Linked DNA regions of Rhinolophus ferrumequinum. The main gene of each other region encodes a partner of the protein of the gene in region 2 in a complex. Links are inferred from orthologs where the notes say so. Each region holds a gene or a part of one and is shown on either strand. Other genes may lie near its edges.

Region 1 (10,751 bases), about 71 Mb from region 2:
AAAAGTATTATCCATCTTCTCTAGAGCTGGTTTTTGAGAGTCTAAAAGATTACATAGAGGCTCCCAGCTAGCTCAGTCGGTAGAGCACGAGGCTCTTAAAATTTACATGTTATCTGGATTATACAATATAATGCTTTAATAAAAGACATACTACGTCAAAATTTTGAGTTTTTCTTAAAGTATGTAATTGATTTCTTTTGTAATCCTATACATTTTATTTTATACATTTAAAAACATAAATTTTGTTTCATTAGACTACCAAAGTGTACATGGCACAAATTAAGAATCTCTGCTTTTCAAAGATAATTTGGTATAACTGTTATTCCCATAACATATAATTATTCCTATAAAGTACATAAATACATACTCTTTAGAAAAGCCATTGTCACTTGATCAACTATACCTGGCTTCATTTATGGGCTGCTGAAGTTCATTTCTAAGATGTTGATGCCTTCTGCATTTTCCTTGTACAACCCCAGACTACTACAAAGCAAGTTTCTAACCTTGGGTCTACTGACATTTTGGGCTAGACAATTCTTTGTTGTGGGGGGCTGTCTGGTGCACTATAGGATGTGTAGCAGAATCTCTGACCTCTATCCACTCAATGCCACTAGTACTCTCCAGTCGTGACAACTAAAAATATTTCTTGACATTGCCAAATGTCTCGTAGTTCAGAACCACTGCTTTAACGTGTAGATGACTTGACTATGAATATAAATAATATAACCAACGAGAGTAACTGTGCCCATCTCTGAAAGTTTAAGCAAGGAGGAAATGGAAAGACATCAGTTTCCCATGTATTTAGCCACCCTTTTATCTTTATAAGGATTTAAAGCAAACCTGAAATATACCTTGGCTTGGGACAGTAGAGGAATTTACAAGTTACCTGAAATCTGTAAGCTGAGCTGAAAACTTCTTGATTTATCACCCATCTATTTCTAACGCAGAGTATTTTATTAAAGTGAAAAAGAAGACGAAAGGAAGAAATATGGAGTGAATAGTTAAACATGGAAACAAAAATAAAATACTGTGGTTTTTAGGTTTGTAAAATATCCAGTGTGCATATCCAATTCTCTAAAAGAGAAACAGTATTTTAAAATAATGGATCTCTTGGTATATCACACTGGATTGTACGTGTCCGAACAGCCAGAAAGGGAAGCAATTGCTGGTTTTATTAAGCTTCATCTGACACTTAAGCCCAGCAGTTGTAAAAGTTGTAAAAGCAGTTGTAAAAACTTGTAGCAATAAATAGTTTTAAACAAAACATTATTTGGTTGATAAGTCCGATGGTGGGCTTAAAACTGGATGTAGAAGATAAGCACTGTAAAGTTTTTTAGATTATGTGAGAATTCTCAGCAGTTTTGCCTATACTTAAGATTTTAGAAACAAAAAGAAACATTTTAGAATATGTTTTAAATGATTAAAAACCCAGTATTCTAGGCATGTTACAAGTCTGAGTCAAAATGACACATCTGACTATCCTGTTTATAGAGTAGCTTTGACTTTAAAATTCAATATAAGGTTAAATTTCTGCTCACTTTTATCTGCAATATGCATAGAACTTGCATTGAATGCCCCACCCACCCCACTCCCAATTTAAATTAGCAGTCCCAATGGACCACCATAAGATTTTGCTGATTAGGGCCAGAGTAGAAATGCTTACTGGGGATTTGTGAAGAGATGACCCTAAGTAACTCTGCAACTTGGATCTGATTCAGCTACTTTCCTTTCTCCCTCTTCTAACTTCTTTCCTACCCTGGATCCAGTCATTAGAACAGTTACAAAGTAGTCTGGTATCCAGAAAGTTTTTTAAAAGTTAAGTTCTTCACTTTTCTCTTTACTAGAGAACTCTAAAACCAGTATTAGTGATGAAGAGAGCCCCAGCAATTTATTTCAAATTTAATTACAGTTTAAGTTTAGCAGTGACTGAAGTTGTTACAGTTTGGGTTTGGTTCAAACCAGATTGTATGAAAAACAAAAAACAAAACACAAACAGGTATTTCTTCCCTCCCTCCCCCATTAACTTCCAGTTCAACACATAACAGCTGAGGTTCATGTTTTGTTGAGGGAAACAGTCATTTGGGTTCTTGTTTGAGGCTTTAAATGAGGATTATAGACCTACTAGGTGCCATGTCAAAAAACCACATTAATCTTAACTTGGAATAAAATGGCACCTTATGTTTGAACACATATATTATGTCCTTTGAATTCATCATATCAAAAAGACATTACATCAAAGGGATATGGCATAGCAAAGAGAATACGTATCTGAAAAATACAATTTGAAATAGCTATAAAAAAGACACTTTGAAGTCTCTCACTTGCAAATGATGTAAACATGCCTCTTATTCAGGGCAGAAGATGCAATATAACTGAATAGGGAGACATTTTTGTTTTTTCCAGTGAGTAGATCAGAGTTGGAATCCCAGCTCTGCTATTTTCCAGCTCTGTGAGTGTGGGCAAGTTAGCGCAGTTACTGCAGCTATAAATACTATGCACTTAAATATATGTTGAATGAATGAATGAATGGCTAAACAAATGATTTAAACTTCTCTACATCTTGTTTCTGTATTTCTAAGAGAGAGATAGCTGGACCTCTTCCAAAGGGCTGGCTGGAATGATTAAAGATATGTAAAGCAATTAGTACAATGCCTAGCACGGAATAAGCACTGTCATCACACCCAGCAAACAGTCTACAACTATATCCAAACTGCTAAAATATGAATTGTAAATAATGAGTCCTAGTCAACCTAGAGTATCATTCATTAAGGAGAAAAAGGCAATAAACATTTAAACTTCATGAGTTTTTAGTTAACAAGCTTGTCTCTAGAGTTCAAGGAAGAACTAGGGAATAGTGAACAATACAGTGAAAACAGCTGAGGGGAAGTTGAGAGAGGAAGTTGAGAAGGGGAGAAAAGAATGAATCACGAGGCTCTGATAATTCCTAAGAAATCAGTAAACAAGAGATGATGATTGTTATATCTGATCTAGTCCCCAGTCGACAGTACTCACTGCCCAGGCCATGAAAACCATGAGGCACTACAGAGGTGAGGCGCTATCCTTGGCCCAGAGCAGCTCAGTTAAGTTGCTTTCATAGGTGTGTTTGCTGGCTGTTGCTGTTTATTTTTTAACCCAGTGATGAGGGGATGGAGTATCTGCTCCTCTCTACTAACAATCCTGGAATAGTCGCTGTCCAGATACTTCTCTACCCATCCCTGACATAAAAAGTGAAGGACTAAATCCTTGGTTTACTGGTTTTTGGTCAGTCAATTCTACACCCATTTAGAGAGGCAGCAATATAAAACTCACTGAAGCAAGCACCTAGTCTCTGGACCTATTAGATAAAATATATTGAATTGAATCCCTTACTCTATCAATTATCATTTCAGTGCCTTTGTCTTAGTAAGAAGACAGAAAAGATTTTGATAGCTAGACAAAAACAGCAGCTGAAATCTACAAGTGAAAATAGTTTTCTTCTCTCCATGCAATTTTTATTAATCAGATATCTAAGAAAAACTCCATTTGCTAAGGCTATACCTTATGTTAAATACAACACATAAAGAACTCAATAGGCTTATTTAATTGGCTCACCTGTGAATTATGTGAGTTTATCTTTCTCCTTTCTTAAATCCAATTTCAACCCATGTTTCCCATTTCCTCCCCATTCTCTTTTTTGCCTTTTTCCCCCCTAAAGACAGGGATCTCTCATCTTTAATTGGGTACTTAATCCTCACTTCACAAATCAGTTGCAGAAAGTATTTTTATTTTCATAATGATATTTGATGCCAAAGCTATGTTTCTAGGCTACCTTCTTACCCATTTTTTTTTTTTTTGGCTCCAAAGATGTAAAATAATTTTAATATCAACTGAAACAATGTGAACTTGAAAATGTAAATCTTTGGGGTAAGAGAAACATAACTAATTTCAAAATACAAAATGTTTTCAACTGTGAAATTTTGGAATTCCTTTTGTTCTCTTTAATCATAAGCTTTACTGAACTATTTCACAAAGGCCTCTAGAAAACTAATGCAACAGAAGTGGAGTGCAGGACTGATGGTAACAGAATCAAAAAGGATTTAAAGTATGTTAACATAATTGGGTTCATATGGGAAGAGTAGACTGTAATTCTTGTTTTACTCATTTGCCGTCTTCAGAAGTGCAAAGTGATTTTTAGGGTACTCATTACACCAGTATCACAGGACCTACCTCCTCACAAACTGTAGAAAAGCGATTGAGGAACTGTACAGTGTGCACCACAAACTGGTTTAGAAATGCCACCGTTCTTTTCTGCTGAATAGCTGGCACCTGTGTTATGTAAAAAATATATATATATGTGATTCGTACAGGAGGAAGATACACTGTGCAATCCCTTTGATATTAATATAACGGGGTGTTTTATGAGCTGTGTGACACGAATCCCTTTTAGTACTGCCAACAGGCAGTCCATAGTTTGTTTTCCCAAATCGTGGGGGTGGGGTGTCCGAAGATGGCAGAAGCTGCAGAAAAGTTTGAGAATGGGCTCTGGATTCACAAGTAAGAACTTGTCGGTAAAGACAGCACACATAAACACACAAAAAACCTGGGGGCCGAGTAAAAGAGGTGGGGTTAGAGTTCGCAACCGGCCCATGTCGCCTTGAGCATAGAGACCCGTGAAGCGAGGGCTGGGAGAGGCACACGACCCCCTTAAACAGCTCGGGAGGGACCCCTTTTCAAGGTGAAGTGTGGGACTCTCCCTCCCGAGACCGGCCGAAGAGAAGCCCGGGGCCAGGGACAGGGTGAGGCATGGGAGATGGGGTCCCCCTGGGCATCGGGCGTCCCTTCCCCATCCTCCTCCCAGGTCACCGGAAGTTCAACTCCTTCCTTTACAAACCTTGGTCAGGTCTATGCCTGACCCCATGAGAGGAAGCCCGTCCTCATCCATCTCCTCAGCGGGCGGGGGACCCAGGGATCACCCACAAAGTCCTCCCTGACGTGGCCCGCCCAACCTGGTAATAGTGTTTAAACGTCTCCCCCAAGTCCCCGCCTCCCGGGCCCTTCCTGCCGGAAGGAAAAGTCCCCGCTCGCCAATCATTCGGCGGCTCTCGGAGAGCACGCCCCCCGCATGGCATTCTGGAATTGGTAGTTCTAGGTCTGGTTTGTCACGTCAGACGCGGGGTGCAGCGTGGTTGCAGTTCTCGTAGTAAAATCTTAAAAACGAGGCAAAAAAGAAGAGTAAATGATTGCGTCCTTTTGAGGTTATACCTGCTTAGTTTTATCTGTTAAATATATTTAGCTAGGGGTCATTCATTAATCAAGTGTGTGTGTGTGTAACTTTTTTTTTATGCTGAATGCCAGGTACTCTGCTAGGCCTTGTGGGGAATACCAAGATTGAGTCAGATTAAGCCCGCTGTGCTTTATGCCCTGACAGAGAAGATAAGACTTGTTTTTAGAGGACTTTAAAACATGAAATACGTTGGAAATATCCACTTAGAGACATCATCAAAAAGGGGCCACAGACACCTGAAAAGACTGCACCTGGGATTTGAAGATCTTGGTTCAGATTTTGATTGTGCAGTTTACCAGCTATGTGATCTAGGACAAGTCACCAAACCAAAAGTTGAACCCCTTCTACTAGATACCAAGCACGATGCTCAGTACTAAGAAGATGAAGAAAATCGTCTCTGCCTTCAAGAAGATTTTAATCTAAGGCAGACGTAGAGTCTGGAATTGCCACATCTAGTGCAAACAATACTGAGAAAGTTGTGCGCACACACCCACACAGAGGCAAAGTGCTTTGGTATTGTAGACGAAAGGTGCTTTTAAATCCTCTGAGAAAACCAGAGAAGATAGCTTTTAAACGACAGAAGGTAGTTTTTTAGCAGGTTCCTGAGTGGAGTTAGCCAGACAGACAATTTCGGGTGGATCTTTGTACAAACAAAGGCATAGAGGCATGGAGGAGTATGGTTTGTAGAGGCAATGGGTAACTGGTTGTGCTGAAGCAAAAAATCCCAGAAATGGAAAATGGAAGCAAATGAGACAGGAATGGACAGAAGAGCTCATTAAGGCCCTTTTATGCCAGATTTGATACTCTAGTTCATGTTTCTCCAAAGTGTGATCCATGGGCCAGTTGTATCAATTATTTGGGCGTGGATGGTGCTTCTTACAATGCACATTCCAGGAATTGACCTTAGATAAACTCAGGACCTCTGGGGGAAATCCGCATTTTAATCAACCTCGCTTGCCCCCACCATTATTCTGAACCAAAAGGTGTTATTTCTATAGGTGATGGAGCCATTCAAAAATTCTGAACACGAGAGTGACGATTTACATTTGTAAAAAGGCTGCCTAGCACATAGATGTGCAATAAAAGTTGGAAACAGAAAAGTTGAGAGTACTATTTGTAGACGTAGAAATGGGAGGTAGAAGTGAGGATGGATAGGATGAGGAATATGTTTAAATATATTTCTTCATGTCTCTGTATCTATGTAATTGTGACTATATAATCTCTTCACATATAATTGAATATTTCATTGTTATTTTTCAACAACATCTATTGAGCATCTTCTATGTTCTAAATACTGTACTAGCGCCACACTAAATAAGATAAACATTGTGAGTGACAGCTCTAGGCAACTGTCCTTTATGTTTTTTGCCTTGATAATGTCCATGAGTAGGAATTTTTCCATTAGGTTATAAATTCCTTGGGGTAAAGTGCTCGCTTCGGCAGCACATATACTAAATTCCTTGGGGTAAATATTATCTTCTTTTCTTATGAGTCCTCACTTAGTACCAGCCACTCTGCTTTTTAATGAATACTCATTAATAATTTTAATACATGGTCTTGAGGGCTGTGATCTAGGATGACCTGGGATGGTGTCAGGGATTGAAGAGAGCCAGCCATCCATCAATCCACAAGATATTCCTTACTATGTGCCAAGCACTAGTCTATGAATCTGGGATACAGTGTTAACAGAACAGACAAAAATTCTGCCCTCATGAAGGTAAACAGATAATGAACAAGTAAGCAAACAGACATTAAGTTGCTCACAGTCCAGCTAGGGAGACAGAAAAATGCAAAAAGATTAACAATGTGGTAGTCTAGGTTAAAGTATGCCCCAAACAGGAGCACCCAGATCAGATTGATGAAATTAGGTGTGGTTTCCTAGAGGAGCTGATGTCTTAGCTGAATTTTGAAGATACAAAAGTTAGCAAGGTGAAGCAAATGGGGAGGAGCATTCCACAAAGAGGAACAGTATGTACAAAGGTGGTGAGGTTTGCACGCCCGAGATCTACATGCTCCAGATAAGAGCACCCCTTCCCTGGCCTACACAGCACCTTTGGTAGGAGTGAAGACCATCACTCATTCTTTCATGAGCTCTCCTGCTTCTGGCAAGAGTCCCCCCCGCCCCCCCCCCGAATCCCCCTCCACACACACCTTTTCCTCAACTACTCTGTGCCTTAAAACATTCACAATTGGTCCGGGACTCCCAAGTTATCCCTCATCCTTCAGGCTCTCCTCAACCTCAACCATATGGGTTTCTACATCACCTTTCCTGACCCCTCCCCAACTTCTAGACCCTTCCTCTAGGGTTTGGGAATTGGGTCATTGGCAAAATCTTCATTTCTCAATCTCATCTTTGCTCATTCTTCTCTTCAAACTCAAGCTTGACTGTTTCTTGAGGATATAGCATCCTATTCATCCTGTGGTTCTTTTTTCACCCACACCCTTACAATACTAGGCCAGGAGGTGGGGTGGGTGTTTTCCTTGCTTCTCATTGCTTTCAGACCATTGTTGTTCCTTTTTCCTTACAAACGCCCCACAGCTCTGGGTTTATGCTATCAGACATAAAATGACATCCTCGTAGCGGTCATCTGCAGGCTCCTAGGTTACTGTTATTCATTCCTTGAAGTCCTTAGTTTATGGCTCACTGCCATTCCTTCTAACACTACTCTTGTTGTAATTCTTGAAATTTGAGTATCTACAGAGATCATCTTTCTGGTATCCTGATTTCTCAGTTCCGGCAATTCTCCTCCTGGGATCTTGTCCTGTACTCTCCTATTTCAGGCACACTCTCCCTTGCATGTTCAATCTTAGCAACCTGGGGGCTGGGATGGAGGCCTAAGTGATTTATTTTTGTGATTGGGTTCCTTCCAGACCCAAGTCTGTCCCACCAGCTTATACTGTTGGCAAAGTCTGCGCTGGTTTCTTCTTGACTCTGCATTTTCCCAGAGTGTCACAGGCTTGCTCTTCCATCTACTTATACCCAGACCAGACCCTTCTTCTTGAGTATGGCAATGCACAGCTCTCTGCTCACCTGTGTCCCTCTAGACATAAATACCTGTCAGAATTTAATTATTAAGATCTATCCACTGCTTCCCAACAACCCCATGGAAAAGTGTGATTACTTTATCTGGTTATTTCTTATTACTACAAATGTGAGAGGCTTTCTGACATCTTTCTATATCCTAATCAGTGGCAGAAGTCTAATCATCCTATCCTTAGAGCAGCTTTCCCTCATCCATCAAGACTAGATTAACTGTTCCTCCAAATACATGCTTCCTTCCATAGCATCTTCTGCTTCACTTCATCTCAGTACATATTATACTTACTTGTTTGTCTGAAGCACTAGACCATTGATTTAGGGCAGAGATTCTGCCTTGTTCACTATTAATGCCCTAGCTCAATGTCTGATCTATTGTAAACCCTCAGTACCTGTTGAATGCATTGGGGCCTAATGACCCTTGTGCTTTCACAGCTTACACGAATCCTTGATTTAGGTGGGACCCACAATTCTGGATAAATTGTTTCAATCAGCTCCCCAAAGCAGAATCCCAACTAAGCCAGCCTAGAGTCTAGCCTTCCTCTCCAGAGCCAGGAGAGGCTCCCAACCAGATAGGAAAAAAAGACAAAACGAAATCAGAGATCCGCTTTATGGTTATGTATTTATCTGTTCTCTATATATGTATAAAATAGAATTATAGAAACATGAACTTGTTCTCAGTCGGCCAATTGACAAAACACTTTTTTTTCACAGTGGTTCGGTTTCTTTATAAAACAAAAGACAAATATAATTCTAGAAGAGGAGAGTTCTAGTTAAGAGAAAGAAGAGTGGCAGTTTTTCTTTGCTTCCTGGGGTCCTTGATCATCAATCATCCCTAGCTCCTGACAGCAATGCCAGTCACAATTTAGTCACTGAATTTCCAGGACTATTAAAAACAATCTATAGCTGTAAGTCTTGGCCAACTGCCAGAAATCCTCTGAAATATGTTCTTCTTCCTGCAGGCTTTCTCTCATTGGAAATGTATTAGCATATTTCATTTACCGTAGTGAATTTTGATAGCAAAACAAGTTTATTGTAATGGATACCAGCTTCAAAGGGCAGAGACTAATATGCCATCTGCATCTATCTGTTCAATAAAAAAAAAATCTTAATTTTTCAATACTTATCTTGGTTTTCATAGCAGATTACTAGAAAAATCACTGCCATTTAACTTCATCATGGGTAAGTTCTAGGTGGGGTAAATAATGAGAATTGAGTTCCCGTTTTTCTTTTGTGTTTCTTTCTGCTCTGCTTCAGATGGAACAGTTAAAGGGGTATGTATTGGTTCATAATAGTGGGCAAATAAAATGTCCCCTATCCCTGCCCCACCTCACCCTTCAGGAGTGATACCAATTGTCTGTTGAAAAGGGAAAATAGTGTTAGTCAAGTGAAAGAATTCTATCCTAGTTATTTCCATTGTGTTAAGAATTCGTTGTTTTAGGCTACTTCTTTTAATTGTTCTGGCTTTTGGAACTTCACTCAGAAAGCTGGGTTGTAGGCTTATATCCTCTAGGCCGGAGACTGGATTCCCCTCTAGAAAGATGACTACTTCAAGAGGAGATCGAAAGATACTTACAGTTGGGGGGGGGTCTCCAATAAAACAGGTAGCCAGATGGTACTGCTTTCCTTGAGCGGGTTGGGGAAAGGTCTCAGTTGCATTTGTACCCGTGAGTTTTAATACATACAGGTGCCTAAGTGATGAAACAGAGAGGCTAATGCTATTGAGAGAATTTCTTAGTTACATTTCCCAGGAGAAAGGGGCATGCATGCCACACAGAGCCATTAGGTTTTGGTTAGGAGGTAGACAGAAGCAGGAGCCAGGGGAAAGCCTAGGCCAGGGTCTTTATTGGGGTTTCTGTGGGAAATGTATTATCTTTAGATACCCCTGGTCAGTTGCAGAGTGTGAAAGCATTCACAAGACTCAGACAAATGAGAAAGCAAGGAGAGGTTTTATTAGTCAGGAGAAAGGAAGCTAGTGTCAGTGTCTTGGGAAGACGGCTGCCCTTTCCTCTAGGATAGCTTTTTCTTATATAGAAAAAGGCAGGTAAATTTTCTTACAGCAGGAGATGTGACGCCCCTCTGAGATCATTTGATTGACGTATGCAGGTTACATAACGAGTTTCTGTGCATGCTCTTATCCATAATGCATACAGAAAAACCCACAGGGGTGCCAAACCTTAATGCTCATTTTATTCTAATTGCGGTTAGGCTTCAGCCATCTGCACAGGTGTCAGGAACAAACTCAATCCCGTTGGGGTCTTATCTGCCTTTTTAAGGGGTGTTTGAAGCTTATCTCTGAGACCAGGCTGGGCAGTTCCTGGGGAGGGGCTGCAGGCCTGGGCCATCCCGCTTGGGTCCACTGTCATTAACTCTTTTTCTGCCTCATCGGGAAAGGCAAGGCAGGGCAGGGATACAGCTGGAGATTGGCTAATGTGAATGACTGCCAATTTG
Region 2 (10,498 bases):
CACACACACTCACGCACCAACCTCATTATGACTTTCATAGACTAAGCACTTTTGCCTTCATGGGGACCTTATTCTATAAACAAATATTAAAAGTTAAAATTTAAGACTATGTTGGCACATAGATGAATATATTAATATTTTATATTAAAATATGTCTTTGAATCTAAAATTCATTTTTGTCTTCTGACTTTAATTAAAATATTTTTGTGGGTCTCTACAAGTATTGTGTCTACTGTGACTAATGGATATCAGCCCTGCCAGTGGCCCCGCTTCTGCTCCCCCTTGCTTATGCTCCCGGTCTCTGTTTACCCAGCCGCAGGCCTCCAAGGCTGTAGAGAAGACCAGCATTGGGGGTCGTGGGAGAGCTGTAACGTTCTCAGGTGGTCATTTTGGGCTCAGAGTAGGGCACTGCAGCTCGCTGAGCTCTCCCTCTGAAAATGGAGACCTTCCTCACTGGGAGATCCAGGTACTGCTCCAAGAAGGATGCATTCATGGTTGCACGGAGTCCTTCCTGTCCTCCTGATACCACTGATTAGAGGTAAGTCTAAACAAATCTGAAGGAGCTCAAGTTTGGCCACAGAAAGAGCTGGCTCAAGTCTGGACTCCTTACTATACGACACATGAGACCCTCTATGAGAGAGAATATAGTGGATAAGAGTGCTTATTGTAAAGAGGTGGCCCTATCTGACCTTGAACAAGTTCTTAAATATCTTAAAACCTCATTTTTTCCCCAATTTTACATAAGAATGATGGGAATATTTTCCTCATCAAATACTTATAAGCATTAAACATTGTATATGTACATGTATTTTGCACTCAATGAAGATCTATATACTTGTTAGGAAATAGGATTGTTATGCAAAACAAATACACATAGAAGATCTCCTATCTCTTCTCCACAGGACAGATATTTCGTCATAATTGAGATTATATATGTAAAGTACCGAGCTCATTACCTGGCACAGACTAGCAACTCCAAAAATCATACCTAGTATTGTGGTCTGGTGCCTACTGACTTCTCTAATCCCATCCCCACCTCTCTCTGCCTTTGAACTTCAGCAACACCAAACTGTTTATGGTTTTGTCTCATTGCCTACTCCACACCCAACTGTGCATTTTCTCACCTCCTGATCATTATAGCAGAAACTGGCTAGCTCTTCCTCCTGGGAATAGAAATTGACTGTACTTCCCAGTCTCCCCTGCAGTTGGATGTGGCCATTTGAACCAGCTCCAGCCAATGGAATGTAAACAGGAGTTGCATGCTCCTTCCAGGCCTGTTCCATCAAACCTCCCACAAGGCTCTTCATGCTCTTTCCCCTTCCAATCTGGGAAGCCCCGTGTTGAAGATGGTAGAGTCTTAGATGGAAAGTACCTGGGTCCCTGGATTAAAATGTGAAGGAGAGCCATCCACTGTTTCAGACGTTCCATTAGTCAGAAATGAGCTTCCATTACATTTAAGCCATTATAAAGTTTTTATTTAAAGTTTTCAGTTTGTTGCAGCAGCTAACCTTACCTAAATTAGTACACTCCTGCTGTCTGATGTCCCTGGAATGCCTATAACTCCACCCTGCTTCACCGAGGTAACTCCTACTTATTCTTTAAGCTTCGTGTCTGGCATCATGTTCTCCAGGAAACCTTCTCCGAGCAACCCCCGAAGTCACAAGGAAGGATTAGGTGTATCTAGCAGACACTGCACAGCTGACTACCCTCTGTCTATTCTCCCCTTCCTCCTAATGAAATTCCAATTTTGTTCAGGGGATTTCAATACCCATTTCACAAGACTCCCTTGCAGCTAGCAGCAGTCATGTGATCCAGTCCCTGCCAATAAATTGTAAGAGGAAGTTGCTGGAGGGAGAGTCTTAGAGAAGCTTTAAAAAAAAAGGAAAAGATTGGCCTCCTACATGCCTTTTGCCTTTTTTCTTTGTGCTTCCTTTCTTCCCACCTGGAAGTCAGCTGCAATGCCCCGGAATGGAGCATACGTATTACAACCATAAGGATGCCTGCCATGTGCTAAGGCAGAGTAGAAAGAAGATTCCAGGTTCCGCAAGGCACCATGGAGCCACGAAATCAGCCCCGTTCTGTCTACTGCTGGTTCTCTTCCAATGTGGAAAACAGCATCTCCTAATGCGTAAGCCCTGTCGTGAGGTTTTTGTTTGCACTACCGAGAGCAGTCTGAACTGAATGCACGCCTTGCTCCGTGCTTCGGAGCAAGCCCTCCACTGCTTCCATCAAAATGCAATCACACCTGGCAAGCATCAGCTTAAGTGTCCGTTTCCCTGACTTGTTTGAAGGCACAGAGCAAGCACTCCACCAATGTGGGCTGAAAGAATGGTGACAAAGGAGACTGTTGCGTCTTCGTCATCTTCATTCTGGGGAAAGGAAAAGGTATCCTCGGAGGATACAGAGAAAAGGCCCTCAGTCTATCTGTGCTGCCACCATGCTCCTGTGTCCATGAGTGGAGCGTCACTCTACGGCCTCTGAGGTCTCTTCAGACTCTTGCGTTCTCTGATGTACCTCACATCCAGTACACGCTCCACACCGAGGAGGGTAGAAAGGGTAAGACACCGGCTTGGCCTCATATGGATACAGCATTTCCTGCTCCTAGCATCTTTTTGTTATTGTTGTTTGTTTGTTTGAAGTGAGGTGAAAGTCATATAAAGCAAACTTATATGACTGTCATGAAAGTTTGAAAGTGAACCGTTCAGTGGCATTCAGCACCTTCACAATGTTGTGCAACCACCACTTCTATGTAGTTCCAAACATTTTTATCACCCCAAAATAAAAACTTGCACCCATTAAGTAGCCATTTCCCGTTCTCCTCTCCCCTCAGATCCTGGAAACCACCAATCTATGCTCTGTCTCCCAGGATTTACATATTCTGGATATTTCATATACATAGAATAACACAATGGGCCAACAAAGGCAGGTAGGGCCATAGGGTCCACACATTAGGCTGACATTCAGCTTTTCTTTTCCAGGGCGAGGTCAAGGATTCCCATTGCAGCTTGAGTGGCTGAGGTCAAATGTCTTTGCAATCCAGCTCCTTGGAAGTTTTTAAAATTAGGTCTGGGATGAGTCTACAAATAGTAGATTTGGCAGAGAACTTTTATGTAGTGAAAGGTGAACTGTATGGAGGTGACCTGGCTGGCCTGGGCCATGGGGCACTGTCTAGCTGCACTTTTGTGAGAAAACACAGCTAGGTTTCCTGTCACGTGGTGTGTGTTTGTGTGTCTATGTATAGACAGACATCCCAGAGCACGTCCAAATTTCCTTTTGTCCTTGAATAAACTTTACAGATCACGAAGAACTTCTGACATCCAATGACAGCTCTCAAAAGGAGGCAGGGCAAGCACTTTTAACCCCAGTTTATAAACGGGGCAATCAAGGCCCAAGGTCATACAAGGAATGAGTGGCGAGGCCCCGATCCTGGGTGCTGTCCTCTGCACACAGCACATTTCCCCTCCTTTGATGTAACCTGGATACCTTAAGTTACTCGGTCATTGCTCAGGAGGAGTGAGGGGGAAATGCGTTAGCAGGTTGTATTCGTTAAAAACAAAATACCATAGCCTGAATGGCTTACACAACGTGAATAATTATTTCTCATAGTTCTGAAGGCTGGGAAGTCCAAGCTCAAGGTGCCAGCTAATTTGGTTCCTGAGAACTCTCTTCCTGGCTTGCAGATGGCCACCTTCTCTCTGTGTCCTCACACGGTGAAGAGAAAGAAAAGAGCAAACTCTCCGGTGTCTCTTCTTATAAGGGCACTAATTCCATCATGAGGGCCCCACCTTCATGATGGCCCCAGTTACCTCCCCAAAGGAGGTAATTACCTCCCCAAAGGCCCCAGATCCAAATACCACCACATTGGGGGGTAGGGCTTCAACATATGAATTTGGGGGGACACAAGTATTCAGTCCATAATATAGGTGGACTCCACAGCTGGTGGTGACCATGTACTACAGCTGGTGAGACGGTGGAATGTTCTTGTCAAAAGACAATTCAACCTAACTCTCTTGGAAGGAGGGGCAGGGAAGGAGGACAAAACTTGGAGAGTGTTAGGAAGAAAGTAGAATTGCCAAATTTAGGAAATAAAAATATCAAATACTTATTTGATTTTGAATTTCAAGTAAGCAACAAATAATTTTTTAGCATGTCTCATGCTTAGTTTGGGATATAATTACACTAAATACACACACACACACACACACACACACATATATTAGTTTTTTTTTATCGGAAATTCAAATTAACTTGGTGTCCTATATTTTCCTCAGGCAACTCTAAAAGAGACAGACCAAGAACTCTAAGACAAGCCCCAATGGACTCCAGGAGGGACAATTGTGAGATCTCTGGACTAACACTTCCACTATATATTTAACCTTTTTAAAAATCTTTTTTAAAAAAACTGTTAGGTTGGTGCAAAAGTCATTGCGGTTTAAAAGGTTAAATAGAATTGCAAAAACTGCAATTACTTTTGCACCAATCTAATAGTTTGTTTTTTGTATGTGATAACAAAAAATTTGCCATTTTAACCATTTTTAAGTGTACAGTTCTGTGGCATTAAATACATTCACATTGTTGTGCAACCATCACCACTACCAACCTCTAGAACTTTTTCATCATCCCAAACAGGCACGTCAAAGAAAACCAGATCTGGACAGTAGTTAAAGCAGTGAAAGCAGATTTTATCTAGGACTTTGCAACAGGGGAAAAGAGACCTCAGCACAGAACTGGGGTCAATTCCGAACATAGCATGGACAAGTGGGGATTTACAGCCAAGGAGCTGGGAGTGGTGGTCCTGGATGGAAAATTACTAATGGTGGGGTAATTCTTTGCTAAACTCACCTGACAGGATTCTTGCTGAAAGCAGGCCAGGGCGACTAGCTATCACCTGGGGTATGTTGGAGCATGAGGAATTTGGTCTGATATTTGATCAGTACGGAGGGTGATCTGATTAATACAGAGAGTGGGGGATTCTGTCTAAACCCACTTAACAGGATTCTCGCTAAAATTCGGAAACGTCAGTAGAGGCCTAGTTGGGAAGAGAATTCAGTGAAGCCTGACTACAGTTTGGTCAGAGGCTTTGTCAGAAACTGTACCCTTTAAACAATAACTCCCCCATCCCAAATTGCTTCCCCACCCCTGGCAACCACCATTCTACTTTCTGCCTCAATGGATTTGACTACTCTAGCTGTCTTATATAAGTGGAATCTAATACAGTCTTTTTCCTTTTGTGTCTGGCTTATATAATTAATTTTTAAAGGGGTGGCGGTGAGGGTGGTGGCGGAAACTTAGTGAATTCTATGGGGAAAACGGCCCACATTAGTCAAGACGAGAAAATAAAGGCGCGCTAAAAGACGTATTACATGTTAAGTGCGTAGGCTGGAGGGCGCGGGCTGTTTGCAGGCCTGTGCTGGGGTCGTGCAGGGGGTACACACGGGGAAAGGCTAGGGCGTCTCTGAGCCTCGGGCGGCAGAAAACCCAGGTGAGGCCAGAGGGGTGGGCAGTGAGGGGCAGCGACGGGGGCGCGGGCCGGCGGTTAGGTGTTGGGACTACAAGAGGCAAGCGCCCGGCGGTTGGAGGGAGGCTCCGAGTGCGATTCCACGCAGGGGTCGGGGACTGACCGCGCTCGGGGCCCGAACTCGGGGAGCCAGCGAGCGAACCAGAAGCCGCGCGCAGAGCGGCGGCGGCGCCAGGACCCGACAGCGCCGGCGGAGCGGAAGCGCGGCGGGCGGAGCGGGCGGAACGGATGGAGCGGCGCGGCGCGGAGCGCAGGTGACGAGGGGCTGGGCGGCCGGGGAGGGTGCAGGCCTCCCTGGTCGCACGCCGAGGGGACTGGGGGGAGCAGCTCCGGGGCGCGTTGGGCGCAGACCCGGGCCCGCGCGGGGCCGGGCGCGAGCGAGCAGCGGCGAGAGGCGGGTGGGACTGCAGACCCTGCGCCCGGGCTGACTTCCGACTCCGCCGCTGGACTCGCCAGCCTGGAAGCGGCGCGGGGCCTCCGCCCAGCAGTAAGGCGGATTTCCACCCCTGTTGGTCCCGGGCTCTCCGGCCCGGGCGCCTGAGCCTTGCCCTGGCCCTCTTCCCCGGAGTGAGGCCGAGGCCTGGCCGGAGGAGGGCCCTGCTGCGAAGCGGCCCCGCGCCGAAGGCCGCAGCCCTCCGCTTCCTCTCGGCCCGGCCCCGTGACCCTCACGTGCCTCTCCACCCTCGGGGCCGGGCTCTAGGATGCGGACGGAAGCCTCAGACCTCTTGCAGCTCCCGTCCCTCACTGAGGCCGGTTAATGCCTCTGCCTCCTTCGCCCCTCTTATGCGACCCCACCCTGATCACCTACAGCAGACGTTTTGGACCTGGGAGCTGGGTGTTCGGGGGTTTGCAGGAAGGATTTCATGCACTTCCGAAATTATAAACAGCATTATGAGAGAGAGGTATGGTGTGGGTTCAGTTTTTTGAAAGCGTCCATAGTTTTTACCAGATTCTCAAAGGTAGCGGTGTTCATTAGAAATATGTGAGCCACACACGTGATTTAAAAAAAAATAAACAAATGAAATTAGTTTAGTAATATTTTTTATTTAACTCAGGATAGGCAAAGTATGATGACTTTAGCACGTAATCAACATACAGTAGCCCTCCCCATCCCCCCCATCCGCGATTTCGCTGTTTGCAGTCTCAGTTACTTGGGGTCAACCACAGTTTGAAAATGGAAAATTCCAGAAAGAAACATTTCATAAGTTGTAAGTTGCACGCCTTCTGAGTGTGTGATGAAATCTTGCAGGTGTCCCACTCAGTCCTGCTCTGCCCTCCCTGGGTTGTGAATCATCCCTTTGACCAGTGTAACCATTCTGTAGACCTGACTAGGTTATCAGATCAACTTTCCAGGTATTGCTGTGCTTGTGTTCCGATAACCCTTTTGGCCTTTATTTTGCCAAAGCCATTCACATTACTGTTATTACAGTATCTTGTTATAATTGCTCTTTTATAATTGTTGTTAATGTCTTCCTGTGCCTAATTTATAAATTAAACTTTCTCATAGGTATGTGTGTATAGGAAAAATTTTACATAGTGTATATAGGGTCCAGTACTTTCTGCAGTTTCAGGCATCCACCGGGGGTTCTGGAACGGACCCCTGCAAATCAGGGAGAACTGTAAAAAAAATTTTGTTTTGTAAGGAGGGCACAGCTCACGGTGCCCATGCAGGGATCGAATTGGCAACCTTGGTGTTTTCAGCACCACTCTCTAACCAACTGAGCTAAATGGCCACCCAGGACTGTAAAAATTTTTAATAAGTTATCTTAAATTATTTTTTCCTACTAAATCTGAAATTCGGTGTATATTTTACACTTATGCCACATCTCAATTCAGACTGGCCACAGTTCAAGTGCTCAATAGCCGCGTGTAGCTAGTGGCCACCACACTGGACAATGCAGGCCTGAGGATTTCAGTCCAAACTCTTTGCTGTGGTATTCAGTGCTTTTTACAGTCTGGCCTCTCTTTATCTTTCTTTTTCCTGCTACTTGCCCAAGGATGGTTATACCCTCACCTCTCAGGACCACTTGCCATTCCCCTATACACCTTTGTTCAAGCTGTTCCTTCTACCTGGAATGCTTTCCCTGGGACTGTTAGGGAGGTACAGCGTCTGCTAAGAGGCTTTTCCGGACTCCCTTAACCCCAGAAGAGGTTCATCACTCCTTCCTCAGTGTTCCCCTAGTACTGTATTCACGGCTGGATTAGAACACATCACATGCTGTTTAATTGTTCTTGAGGCTATTCCCATGGCCAGTAGAGTGCCCTGTTCATCTCTGTTGTGATCATGGCAGGCACCTAATAGTTGATAAGTAGATGTTTGCAGACAGAACGAGTAAACCGCCAACCAGCTGTACTCAGTCTCTTAATTCCTGAATGGACCCAGGACTTCCTTGTTCAGGAGATTGGTGCCTGAATCACTCCCTCGTGTGTGTGTACACACACAGATATGGTGACTAGCCATGACGAATGCATTTCAAGATGTGCACAGGAAAGTGTCTTCTACCTGTGGTCCCCTCCCCATCTTACAGATGGGAAAGCTGAAGCTCGGGACTAAATTAGGGTGGCCAGCAAATTTGCATCAATATGAATACCAAGAAGTGGAGGGATTCTCCTTGAAAGGAGTTGGGGGGGTGTCTCAGGATTAGATTCCTCAGACAGTTAGGGATCAGCTAGCACCACTCTTGGTCGTTTGATAGGAGGCAAGAGAAGTGAGGAGTAGTGCTGGGCCCTGTTGAGGATTCAAGGGAGGTTCAGGTCTGAGAAGCCGAGGACATGACTGTTGGGAAACAAGCTGGGGAGCAGAACAGTCATCTCGGCTAATGAAAGTGCTGGCCTGGGAAGGGCAGGAGAGAACAAGTAGGGCGGACGGAAGGGCCAGGGGAACCAGCAGAGGGAGCGGAGAAGCAAGCACCTACTTGGTGAAGATGTGGTGCGATATATTGGGAAAACCCCTTAGAGAGCAGTGCCATTCTCTGTAGAATGGGAAATAGCATCAGATATTCAGAGCAGGCAAGCGACTTACCCGAGGTCACATAGCACTTTAAGCCCAAATGAAGCCCCCTAAGCCCTCCCTGCCATACTCACCGAGCCCCACCCACACCGCTGTTGCAACCAGGGGCCTTTAACATGGAGCCTAGGAAAACAGGTCTGGAGCACAGTGCCAGGCCTGGTGAGTGTCTTCCTCCCCATCTTCTGCCAAGGGGCTGTGATTAGACCTATTTATAGGGGTCTGGGGCCTTAATATTCTGCTTGGTGCATCTCTTGCCAATCAAATCAGTGCCGTCTGCAGTGCGATTGCTACTTTAGTGGCACCAGGGAGTGGAGTTAATTAAGCCCAGTATAAATAGACTCTGCCCTGCCTTGCAATTCGAAGGAGCGCTTTTCCTTCCTGTTTCCTGGCTCCACATACCCCTGCTTCCTCCCGGCCCCCCTTAGCTGGAGCCTGGGCGAGCAGAGTCTGGACACTGCAACCTAGAGTCACTAACCACTGCCTGTCCTATCTGAGGACTAAGCCCTGAGTTCCTCAGGGACCAAAGTGAGAAGAACCCAGGAGTCCACATTCTCTGTGCTTTTCCATAACCCAGGTACCGTTTGGCAGTTGACTGAGGCAGATTTTCTCCCCACAGCTATCCCTCTGCTTCCAGACTTTTTCACTTTGCAGCCAGGGCTTCTTTCTTGTTCATCCAGGCTTGGGAGGTTGAAAGCTGTATGGTAATATGTGACACCTTATGGGGTCAGTCAGTGTTGTACCTTCTCTGAACCCTTCTTGTCGCCTCGTTCCTACCAATTTCCCTCCCGCATTCACTCAATAAGCAGCATACCTGTGGGCTCCTGGCCTCCCACCAAATGCTCTGTCCCCAACTCCCCACCTGTGCGTGCTGAATCGGTGGGGTGAGGGGCTGTGCGCCCTCCTCCCGGTACCTTGCCCTGTGGTGGGTGGGGGTGGGGGAGTGTGGGGTGGCCCTCATGCTCCGGTTTCCCCCACAGGCAGCATGACTCCCATGAGGACCCAGCACTCGTTGGCAGGTCAGACATACACAGTGCCCCTCATCCAGCCGAACCTGCGGCGAGAGGAGGCCATCCAGCAGGTGGCGGACGCCCTGCAGTACCTGCAGAAGGTCTCCGGAGACATCTTTAGCAGGTGGGTGCTGCCCTGGGCAGTCGTCTCTCCTTTCCCAGGAAGGTCCCTCTAGGAGTGACCCTTCTGGTGATGTTTGGTCCTGGGGGGCCCCAGCTTAGAAGCTTTTTCTCTCACGTGCTCCTAAGAGCTACGTACTGTCCCACTTAGCCCCCTGCGTTCCCTCCCTGTGGATCCCACAGGCCCAGTGGTGGTACCGCTCTCCTAACTCCTGCTCTTCCTCCCTCTGGGGGCCCACGTGCACTTATTCCCGCAGTCAGCAAATCCTGTGTTCAGGCACTGTGCTCCTCTCCTTAGTTACAGCGGTGAATAAGGGAGATCCCAGAGGTAGACTGTAATTAATCAATTGCATGTTATTTAATTCTAATTGCGATAAGACCTATTTTTAATAATTTTGTAAAAGCTGGTATTTATATAGCATTAACCATGTACTTCCAATGAGCTGAAGCACATTAACTCATTAACCCTTACAACAACCTTATGAGGAGGTTCTGTTGAAATCTCCTTTAATAGATGAGGAAACCGAGGCACAGAATGGCTAAGAGACTTGCCCAAGTGCAGAGCCTGGGGTCACAGCCAGGTATGGTGGCTCCAGACTCTGGAGTCCCTACTGTCTCTCTGTGAAGATAAGTTGCTATGAGAGCTGTGAGTGGGAGGCCCGACTTGGTCTGGGAGGAACCGGAGGAGGCACATGTAGGGGAAACATTCAGGGTAAAAGCTGAAGAGTGAGGAGTTGTTGGGGGGGGTAGGCTGGGGACCAGAATGCTTCAGAAAGAAAGAAGTGCACGAGCCAACGCTCTGAGGTGGGAAGGACCTGAATTGAAGCCAGTGTGGCCAGAGCA

What was found.
Region 1: WASHC1 (region 2) and WASHC3 share a complex: the UniProt entries of both Homo sapiens proteins name them as parts of the WASH core complex. The link is inferred for Rhinolophus ferrumequinum from reciprocal best matches to the Homo sapiens genes WASHC1 and WASHC3.

What each region holds. Positions count from the first base shown.
Region 1 is NC_046293.1:17,288,443-17,299,193, reverse strand, and holds the start of WASHC3 (WASH complex subunit 3), read right to left. Parts: upstream 5,026-10,751; 5' UTR 4,922-5,025; coding exon 4,871-4,921; intron 4,306-4,870; coding exon 4,207-4,305; intron 1-4,206. UniProt on the Homo sapiens protein: Acts as a component of the WASH core complex that functions as a nucleation-promoting factor (NPF) at the surface of endosomes, where it recruits and activates the Arp2/3 complex to induce actin polymerization, playing a key role in the fission of tubules that serve as transport intermediates during endosome sorting.
Region 2 is NC_046293.1:88,117,966-88,128,463, reverse strand, and holds the start of WASHC1 (WASH complex subunit 1), read left to right. Parts: upstream 1-5,620; 5' UTR 5,621-5,772; intron 5,773-5,802; exon of another isoform or gene 5,803-6,005; intron 6,006-6,046; exon of another isoform or gene 6,047-6,420; intron 6,421-6,675; exon of another isoform or gene 6,676-6,871; intron 6,872-9,505; 5' UTR 9,506-9,510; coding exon 9,511-9,659; intron 9,660-10,498. UniProt on the Homo sapiens protein: Acts as a component of the WASH core complex that functions as a nucleation-promoting factor (NPF) at the surface of endosomes, where it recruits and activates the Arp2/3 complex to induce actin polymerization, playing a key role in the fission of tubules that serve as transport intermediates during endosome sorting.